Linked DNA regions of Mus musculus: region 2 is reported to be linked to region 1. The links are microRNA targets in miRTarBase. Many come from high-throughput screens and were not tested one by one. Region 1 holds a microRNA gene; the other region holds the end of a gene's coding sequence.
What was found. The annotated mature microRNA mmu-miR-10b-5p reads UACCCUGUAGAACCGAAUUUGUG and lies in region 1 at 2,446-2,468, opposite strand. An mRNA with a match to its seed (bases 2 to 7 or 8) in the 3' UTR can be bound and repressed. Matches are read on the target gene's strand: a 7mer-m8 pairs with bases 2 to 8, a 7mer-A1 pairs with bases 2 to 7 and ends in A, and an 8mer does both.

Region 2: miRTarBase lists Gdpgp1 as a target of mmu-miR-10b-5p. Seed matches in the 3' UTR shown: 7mer-A1 at 2,277-2,283, 7mer-m8 at 1,996-2,002 and 7mer-m8 at 1,110-1,116.

The regions. Positions count from the first base shown.
Region 1 is chr2:74,722,612-74,728,541 of GRCm38, reverse strand. It overlaps Mir10b (microRNA 10b), which reads right to left and starts at 2,472; the gene lies at 2,405-2,472. The region is part of intron 1 of Hoxd3 (homeobox D3); the gene reads right to left. Hoxd4 (homeobox D4) reads right to left here. Exons shown (of 6, transcript NM_010469.2): 2 at 5,911-5,930; 3 at 5,175-5,210; 4 at 2,564-3,079; 5 at 837-1,666; 6 at 1-280. The coding sequence starts at 1,263.
Region 2 is chr7:80,237,388-80,241,851 of GRCm38, reverse strand. It overlaps Gdpgp1 (GDP-D-glucose phosphorylase 1), which reads right to left. Exons shown (of 2, transcript NM_178752.3): 2 at 432-3,638. The coding sequence starts at 3,629. The coding sequence ends at 2,469. Among named protein-coding and RNA genes, the nearest start is that of Gdpgp1, 6.7 kb to the right of the region's middle.

The DNA.
Region 1 (5,930 bases):
AAATGCTGGCCCGGGGCAGCTGAAGAGGAGCAGGAAGATGAGGAAGAAGACCTGCCCTTGGTGTTGGGCAGTTTGTGGTCTTTTTTCCACTTCATCCTCCGGTTCTGGAACCAGATCTTGATCTGGCGCTCAGACAGACACAGGGTGTGAGCGATTTCAATCCGACGGCGCCTGGTCAGATACCTGTTAAAATGAAATTCCTTTTCCAGTTCTAGGACTTGCTGTCTGGTGTAGGCCGTCCGGGAGCGCTTGGGCTCCCCGCCGGTGTAGTTGGGGTTCACTATGAGACAAAACATACAAGACAGCCAGGTCAGAGCCCGGCCACTAGTTAGGCCCCAGGCTTGCCTCTGCCCTCACTTCCTGGCGCGTCTCGCAGCCCTCGGGCCCCCCCTGTGCTCCAAGCTGGCCAGCTTCCTCCCTCCCGCCCTCTCCCTAAACATACACACACTCCCACCCAAGCCCTTCCATGCACACACTCCCCACGCTCACAGGTCCTCCTCAAAGGTTCTCCCTTGCCACTGGCCCACCAAGAGCTCGGTATCGCCAACATTTTGGAAAGGTCCTTGTTTTGCTCTGCGTTCCCTCTGCTGTGGAAATGGAGTCCTCCCCCCACCCCATCCCCATCCCCACCCCCTTTTGCGCCCACAGCCAAGCAGCCAGCCACATGGTCCCGGCCTGCTCCCTCAGCTATAAAAATTTATGGAGAGAGTAATTGCGGCGCCCAAGGAAGCTGCACAAGCCCCTACCCATTCGCAACCCCTGGGGTGGGGGGTGCAGGCCAAAAGATGCAAGGAGTGGTGCGGGAGGGCTGTGAGGTCGCTGCCCCCACTCCTTACCCGAATTCACGTGCACCTTCTTCATCCAAGGGTAGACCACAGCGGGCTGCTTGAGTGCTGTCCCGGGGGGCGGCTGCTTGGGGCCGGTGGGCTGGCTGCAGGCCCGAGCGCCAGGCAGGGGCGCAGGCGGGGGCGCTGGGCACCGCTCTCCCGGGGCACCGTAATGACTTCCCGGGCCGCTCGGCTCCTGTCCGTGACCCCTCGCGGGCAGCGCTGAGCCAGGCCCGGGCCCGCCGCCTCCGAAGGGTTGCTCGCCGAAGTCGGGCCGTGGGTAGAGCCCCGAGGGCTGGAAGTCGGCGCCCTGTGCACCGCTGCCGTAGTAGTCGGCTCCCTGCTCGCCTAGGTAGCCACCCTGCAAATATTCCTCGCACGGAGGAAACTTGGGGTCCACGTACTTAGAGTTCACCATATACGAACTCATGGCCATTAATTTCAGAAGGTAGAAAATACTAATTTTTCTCGTGTTGTCTTTTTTCTCCTTCCATTGGGCCCTCCTACTTGCTGTCAACTGAATAAAGTTGGGCGGCCATGTGACCAGGCCAGCCAATAGGAAGAAAGCATGTTTATCACCGGGTTGGTGAGCATCTCATAATTTTCACAAATTTAACTAAATAACATACGTGTAATCAAGTGACTTGCCATGCCACATTTGAGAGTCCCTGACAGATGCTAATAGAGTTCTAATTCTATCCCCGGGGTCCCAATTTCCGGCAGGTAATCTCGGCTTTTGTCTTCCACTGACTTTGCTAACCTCCCATGCCCTCCTTACTCACCATCGCCTGAAGCAGCCCCCAGAATGGACATAGTTCAAAGAAGAGTGAATTCTCCTACTGGGGTGCAAAATAAGGAAGAATGAGTGTGGGCAATGTGGCCTCCGAGTTGGGTAGAGTCCTAGGCAGGCAGGCAGGCTGCCCGGCCAGCTGGCAGGAGTCCTGGACTCTGACATACAAAGACCTGTCTTGGCTTTGTCTTCATCAGGGTCACCCAAAAGTTACCAGAATCTGGCGGACCTGAATTGAGTTAGGCAATGAGTAACCACTATGCTTTTCTGCCAATGCGCAGGCTGGGGTGTTTCTAGTTGAAGTTGGATCTTTCTGCAGGAGGCCCTCACAGTTCTGAGTCTGGTGGCTGAGGGGTTGGGTCATATTGGGATGGTGGGGAGGGGGACCTTAACCTTGCCTAAATGTACCCCAACGGTCTCCGATGGCCTATCTTTCAGTTTGTCTTCTTCCCACACAAGGGCAGGTGAGCCCCATTTGGGTACCTTTGTGTCTCATGCTCCTTCAGAGCAGGGCTTCTGCTGGAGCTTTCTGGCCTTTCACCTCACTCTCTAATACCCTAAAACCTGGCTCTCTGGCTTTACACTCAGACAACCACTTGAGCACCTACTGGAATATCTATAGGAGTTTCTCCAGGAAAAGGCTGTACAATTTCACCAGGCAAAGTCGATCATCCTGGAGTCTAAGGTAATGAAAAAGAAAGAGGTGGCTTGCCGGCTGGGCTGCCAGTACTCTCCGCGCCTCAGTCTCTGGCCATGTCGGAGATATATGAAGTTTTTGCATCGACCATATATTCCCCTAGAATCGAATCTGTGACTATGTGGGTACCACACAAATTCGGTTCTACAGGGTATATATAGACAACGTTACAACCTCGGGTCCTACCCAGAGCAGACATTCAGGCAGCTGCCAGACCTGATCTCTTCAGCACAGCCACCAGGAACTCACCAAGCCTGGCTTTCAGAGATGGTGCAGGTAGGCTCGGTGCATTTCTAAGTATTGCTGCTCGCTACAGCAATGAGTTCCCTCATCGGCTTGCCAGGATGGGGGCCACCAAGTAGCTGAGCAGCCAGGACCTTCTTCTTCTTAAAAAAAAAAAAAAGAAAAGAAAAGAAGGGGAGTTTTTTTTTCACCCCAGAGATGGCGGCTTAATTGCCCCTTCTCAGAACCCAAATCTCCCGCCCCCTTATCAAGTGGTATTTCCCAAAAAGAAGCAAAGGCCCTCAGCAGCAGAAAGGGAGTTTTGAAAAAGGCAAAAGGAATAGTCTTCACCAGAACCTAAGCCAAGTGAGTGGTCACAGCTAGTCCTCCTAGAATTCGAGCATTTACCTTTCTGGGCCCTCAGCCCCGCCGGACTTTCGGATCCCGCTGCTGCTGCTTCTGCTGCTGCTATGACTGCTGCTGCAGACCCGGAGGCAGGCGCTGTTTGCGGCCACCGAGCCTCCCTGGGCTGAGACTGTCGAGCTAATGGTGAAGGGCAGGGCGAGGGGTCATTCGAAATCATTTACAAACATATCACAAAGTTTCATTATTTTTGCTTTGCCGACAGCAGCACAGAAGAGTACAAAAGTTCGCGAATTTCGCCGCCCCAGCGCCTCCGCTGTCCTGGGCTTGCCCCTCAATTCAGGGCATCAAGAGCCCAGATGCACTCTGGGGCTGGGCTGATTTCAGGGGCAGAGGGATGCCCTGGCCTGGGCCGAGCTTATGGATGCCTGATAACAGATTGAAGATGTCCACATTTCTAAGTATTGTTTTGATCCCTTCCTATATAATTCGAAAAATCACTTTCAAGCCCCATGCCTTGATTTTGATGGGGTGGGGCAGGGAGACTCCCCTCATCATATCTGGCAAAATTAGGTGCTCACTTTGACCCTGTACTTTGCCCTTCCATGCCCTCCCACCATCTTTCACTTCCACTATTTTGCAGGGATTTCCCAGGTGTCAGTTCTAAAAAAAAAAAAGGGGGTTAAAATCCGTTTGTTTAAAGACTCTCCCCAGTTTCTCCTAATGCCAGCCCTTTCACCCATGGACACGTTGACAGGCCTTTCTGGGGACACTGGGCCTACCTCTGTTTTACCCAGACAAATTGGGGAAGTCCGATGGGTTGAGTGAGGACCAAGATGAGTACACACATTTTCATATTTGTTAGACATTGTGACCTGCATTTCACCTTATTGCTCGACTTGTTCAGACAGGTCAAAGCCAACAAGTTATTGATGAACAAAAGCGTTAAATATTCACCTCCCTCTCAACTGCCCATACAAATGCTTTTGATCTCTCCGGCTTTTTGTGCTGTGGGCAGCTACAAGGCGCCAGCAAGCAAGCAGCCTCAGCAGAGATGAGCCCTCACAGCCAAGGGTGCCAAGGAAGAGGGCAGGGGCAAGGCCAGAGAAAGTCTGGGGAGTCCAGATTTTTCACCATGGAGCCTGGTTCACTGTGTGCAGGCCTGGTTCATAGAAGGAACTACAAGCTGTAAAGGTCTTCACTTCCCTGTTAGCTCAGCCTCACCAGGGGCCCAGCAAAGAAACCTGGCCCTGAGCCCAGTCTCAGCTTCTCTGACCAGGAAGGGAAGACATCTCACAAGAGAGGGAGGATGCCTGGTCCCTGTGGTCCTTACCAATCTGCTACTGTTCCATTAAAATTAAACTACCTGTGGTTTGCAGTGAGTGGCAAGCCTCTACTATTTCCTTGACTCTCCTTCTAGTGCCAACCCTTCTAATGACACCCAGAAGATGTCACCAGCATTCTCAGCTTCAAACTTCAGAGCCAAAGAACTGGAGTCCCTGCCTCTGATCCCACCCAATTCCACTGGACTCTGGAGTAGAGTAGAAATTCTTCAACTGCAGCTAAGGAGAAACGGAGGGAAAGAGAAAGTACTCTTTTTGTTCACCGGGTATCCCAAACTGGGACCCACACCAGTGAAGCTAGGACCCAGAAAGGGACAGGAGAGGAATGTCTACATAAGCTCAGAAGTTGTAGCCCTTCCTGGAAACAGGCCAATCCAACACACCCAAGACCATCAAGGGTTATATGTTTGTTTTTGTCTGTAATAAATCAAATTTTAAATTAAAACCTATATACAGCAAGAGAAGGCTGAGATAGACTGGGCAGAGAGAATAATGGCTGGACAGCAGAGAGGGACCCCCGTTGCCTTGGTGTTGATTGGGTCAATTCTAGCAGTTGTGGATGCTGGCCCGCCCGTAGTTCAGTTCGTTGATAGGGTGGGCTGCTAATTAGCTGCAAGTCTGCTGCACCTGTGCGAGCCAGAGAAGCCTGGCAAAGGCCTGTATGGTCCAGAGAGGTCCGGGAAGACAAGGGCGGTCCCCTGCGGTGCGTTTACTTGAGCAGGTGACTGTGAACTAGGTCCCAGAAATACTTCCTAAAGGGTCAGCCTAGAGCTTCCATCCCTCCACGAAGCGAGTCCGTTTTGGCCTGGGGAGGCAGCGCCACTCCGCTACTCCTTAACCCTCCCATCACCGCTGGCGCGGACCTTCCGCCCACCTCCTCCCAGTCTTAGCACTACCCTTTCGTTCCTCGGAAGAAAAGGGAAGGTACTTACAGTGGTTCTCCCTCGTTCTCCCTGACGCTCCAAAACCTGTTGCAATGAAAGTGGGGTCTCTCAAATTTCACAGGACAATAAAGCATCCATAGGCGACATGCAGAACGTGACAAGGCCCAGACATTCCACCAATACCTAGAACTCCTTGCTTCTGGTGACCGCCTTCGGGTACTGCACAAAGTTTTCCTCTGATAGCATCCTCAAAGGCAGAGCTAAGGGCTATGGGAGTCTGTCCTGGTCACCTACCCTACTTCACGCACCCTTGGGCAAAACCCAACCAGTTATACGGCCTGACTCAGACTGCCTGAGGCAGGGTTTCCCCAGGGGGGAAATGGGAAGTCAGAAAATAGGCCTTTGTGCATTTCCTTCTGGTGTGGGAGGGTGGGTGCGAGCCCACTGGTGAGAGCCTGCAGACATTCTATTTGTCCCGACCCCAATTCTGCTCCCTCTGGAAACAGTTCAGACCTCCTTTTCCAGTTTCAGGTTGGTTTTTAATTCCACCCCAGCGTCCAAACCTGCATTCTCCTCAAAGAGGAGGCATGGCAGGCAGGGACATATTTTTTTTTTTCCATGTCTCCAATTCAAAACAGTCATTTCCTTCCGAGGGGAAATGAGAACCCAAAAGATAACCAGAAAGGGAAATTGATGTGTTTAAAGGAAAATGATCTAGATCTTACAGACATGGTCTAAAATATGATCTCATTCTATCTGTTTGACATTAATTTTTTAAACATACCTGCAGGAGAACCTACAGAC
Region 2 (4,464 bases), not on the chromosome of region 1:
TCCTTCCTGAGCCTGGCTCAGCCAATCAATCTTAACTGATGAGCCATCTCCCCATCCGTTTGTTTGTCTTTTTTAAAGGGGGTAAGGCTTGTGACTAAAGCTGGCCTTGATTTTGTAGCAGTCTTCCATCCCAGCCTCCCAAATGCTAGGATATCTGTAATCAACAATGAGACTTTTTAAAACTTCCAGGATTTACAGAGACTTGGTTGTGGAAAGATCCCTGAGGGCCACCAACTGTTAAAGGCAGCATCACCACGGTAGGAAAGGCTGACTGGAGAGACTCCAGTATACACTGTACCAGGTCTGGCATCTCATTGCGTGTGCTGCAACCTCCACTCTGCCGTTAGCTGCCTGACCTAAGCAAGTGACTGGGTCAACAACCATTTCTTCCTCTGTTGAATGGAAGCAATAAAAGGACCAACACTTCTTTAAGAATATTAGCCAGCTGTGGTAGCCCATGCCTTTAATCTTAGCATGTAGGAGCCAGAGGCAGTTGGATCTCTGTGGGTTGGAGGCCAGTCAAAGCTACATAGTGAGACCTTGTCTCTCATAACAAGCAGAACACTTGCTACATTTCCTTGGTGCATGTGCGGGAAGTGACAGACCCATTTGCAGGAGTTGGTTCTCCTTGAACTGAGTGGATCCTAGGGATTAAACGCCTGTCACTGTGTTGAGGGCACACAGTGTTGATACCTCCTGAGCTATCTCTGTGGTCTATGACCAGCATTTTTAAAAGAATTTTTGAGGTAGTCTCAGTATATAGCCCAGACTGGCTTTGAACTCACTAGTCAACTGTTATTGGGGGCTTGAAGAAAGGATAGTTTGGTTTTTTTAAAATTTTTTTTAGAGAAGTTGACCACCTGGATGAAGCAGTTGCAAATACAAGGGGGGAGGGCAAAGTCAGCCAATGAACCAGCCATAGGCAAAGCTGGAGTCCCAGAGATTCAGGAAACTAAAACAGGGTTCTTTGATTTGAGGAGTTTGATGGTAGCTTGGGCTACAGAGCTTAGTGGCTCACATTCAGGAGGCAGAGACAGGCTGAATCTCTGAGTTCAAGATCAGTTTGGTGTACAGGGTGAGTTTCAGGACAGCCAGGGCTACACAGTGAGACCCTGTAAGAGTCAGTGGCGCACCAAGGGACAAGAGCAAAGGTAAGACAAGGTAGCTGGATGTATCTGTAAGCCATCAGAGCAGAGGCTGATGGTTCACACCAAAGGCGAAGTCCAGAGAGCAACCTGTGTAGCAAGACATCTAGTAGAAGCACTCTAGGGTCGCCATCAGAATGGTTGTTTGCTAGAAGTGTTTTGACCTTGAAGAAATCATTAAGAAAAGAGTGACTGTTTTCTACTATCTATAGAACTGTTTTTCTGAAGGAGTTTTACAACCTTTGCAAAGTCCTGGTCACTGGACAGTCCTGGCACACTGGGAATGTGCACTGTTGGGTACTGCAAACAGTATACAATAAGAACTGAAGCTGTGGGCAGTGATGTCTTCCTTCAGGAAACACATAAGACTAGATTCGGTGTGAGGAATTTTTTTTAACCAAAAAACCCACAACTTTTGTGTAACAATCAATATATGCTTTTGGGTGGCCATTTGATATTGAGTCCACAGAGCCTGGATCTCCCTGTAAGGCCATATTTCACCCTGGAGTGACCCTCTTTCTTAGATTGACCTACAAGTCTCAGAACACTGACAAACCAGGACTGTGAAATTCTCCCACTCTCCATTTTAAAATTTGTTTTTTTTTCTTAGCAGGGTGGTGGTGGTGCAGGCCTTTAATCCCAGCACTCAGGAGGCAGAGGCAGGCGGACCTGGTCTACAGAGTTCTAGTACAGGCAGAGAAATCCTGTCTTGAAAAACAAAAGAAGCCAGGCAGTGGTGGCGCACGCCTTTAATCCCAGCACTCGGGAGGCAGAGGCAGGCAGATTCCTGAGTTCGAGGTCAGCCTGGTCTACAGAGTGAGTTCCAGGACAGCCAGGACTACACAGAGAAACCCTGTCTCGAAAAACAAACAAAAAAGGAAAACAACAACAAAAAAACTATTTTTATATTTACTTTTTAAAAAATTTTGTTTTGAGATATATTTACGTGTGTGTGTGTGTGTGTGTGTGTGTGTGTGTGTGTGTGAGTGAATGTATCATGGTGCACATTTTAAAGTCAGAAGACAGCCTTTACCCTATGGGTTCTGGAGGTTGAACCCTGATCAACAGACTTAGCAGCAAGCACTCCTCCCCCTGAAATGGTCAGATCTGGCCCTTCATGGCAGGGCTTGTTACCCTGGGGCTTCTCAGGGAAGAGGCAGCAGAAACATTCATGAGAACACATTCTCTCAGTGCTCTCTCTGCAGTCCTTATGTGGGGAGGTGGGAAGAAGGTCATGACATGAAATGCACAAATGGACTGAATTCACATTGGCCTTTGGGAAAGGGCCTCGAATTAGTCAGCAAAGAAAACACTCCTGAAGAATCACAGCTCTTCCTGAGCCATCAGGGCTACCAGCGCTGCCCGTACCTCACCTGCCTGAGTTTCAGGCAGCAGACAATCCTGAATGAGGGCCACTGCAGCTGCCTCTGTCAAGCTGCTGAAGTCCTGTGATGTTTTGACAGGGAGGTGGCCAGCCAGCTCACAGAGGGCAACATTAAACGCCCCACTTTCCTTTATTCCAAAGCTGGACTTCCGGGCCCACAGAATGACTCGGATCCCACTGAGATCTGAGGTAGATGATGTCGGCCCGGGGGGAGCTCCCCGGGTCACAAATAAGTTATGTGCAATCTCACGGTCACTCAGGTAGTCAGTAGCTCGGCATACCCTGCTAATTAACACTTCCAAATCCGGCCCTGGCCCACTGGTGTAAAAGAGAAAGCCAGGAGCCGGCAGGGCCTGCAGCAGATGTATACAACCTTTGGGGTCTAGGGGTGTGCTTGGCGCTCCCTCCACAGGCAGTGGGTGGGCCAGGTAGTAGCAATGCAGGTGAAGATGGTTCACAGAGGCCAGGCCTCCCAGGCTGTTGAAGCCGACCCTGAAGCCTGGGTGCAAGCTCAGTAGGACAGCTTCTAGCCCCACCCGCAGCACTCCAGGCAGCAGCCGTTGGGGAAGCCCCTGAGCAGGTGCAGGCACCAGCAGCACATGACCCCACTCCAGGGGGCTGACATTGATCACCACAAGGACGTCGTCCTCTTGCTTTGGAGTGGCTGGGCCTTTAGGTTCCCTTTGCATCCGGAAAAGGACTTCTCCAGGTCGAATTTTATTGAAGTTAAACTGTTCCGGGTCAAACTCCTGCCTCACACTTCTGATATTCTGGGGGCGCCTCCTCTGTATCCCTCGCTCTATATTCAGCTGAGCTACAAACCCCACGGAACCGGGGAGGATTTGGGTCTGCAGATCTTCTAGGCGGTACCGAAACAGGCCCAGTTCCAGCCGCTGCCTCCACGCAGAGCGGAGGGCAGAGTCGAAACGGGATAGTGGTACTGTGTCCACGGCACTAGGTGAATCCCTGGGCCACTGAACTTCCTTGCCAACGAGATCCTCCTGGCCATAGACAAAGTCCGGGATGCCTTGTTTCTCCCAATCCTCTGGATCTGGAGGCAGCAGATAGGAAGTCTCCTGCAAATGATGTGGCACAGCCATGAAGGCTACCTGAAACAAGAATGAAAAACCCATAAATAGATGAGACCAGCTCATTTCCAAAGATTATTTTTGAATGAATTTTTTTTGGGGGGGCATGGTTTATCGAGACAGGGTTTCTCTGAGTAGCCCTGGCTGATCCTGGAACTCACTCTGTAGACTAGGCTGGCCTCGAACTCAGAAATCTGCCTGCCTCTGCCTCCCAAGTGTTGTTGAATGATCTTATTCTGATTATAAAAATGGTAGGGCCGGGTGTGGTGGCTCACACCTTTGATCCCAGCACTCGGGAGCTGGCCAAACATAAAGAGCTTGCCTCATATGATGAGAGCTGGTTCTACACAGGAGCTGCTTCCACAGTACGGCATCTGTACCTCTGTGGGAGTGCACAGGTTGGTTCCATGACTAGGATCTGTGGAGGATGGCAGAGAAACAGTGTCGGACCCAGCCACTTCAGCAGAGGCTCTAAGAGTGTGGCCCTCCGGGTCCTCCAAGCCCTGGAGGGGCTGAAAATGGTGGAAAAGGACCAAGATGGGGGCTATAAGCTAACACCTCAGGAACAAGAGATTGGGACAGGATCACTGGACAGGTGGCAGCTACCAACAAGAAGCATTAGAACAAAAGATGCTGGGTTAATAAATTGCCTCATTCACATTTTATACACACACACACACACACACACACACACACACACACACACACACACATATTTGAGCTGGATGTGGTGGCATAAGCCTTTAATCTCAGCATTCAGGAGGCAGAGTCAGTTGTTATTTGGTTGTTTTTTTGTTGTTGTTTTGTTTTTCGAACAATCTCAGTACTCTGGAGGCAGAGGCAGGAA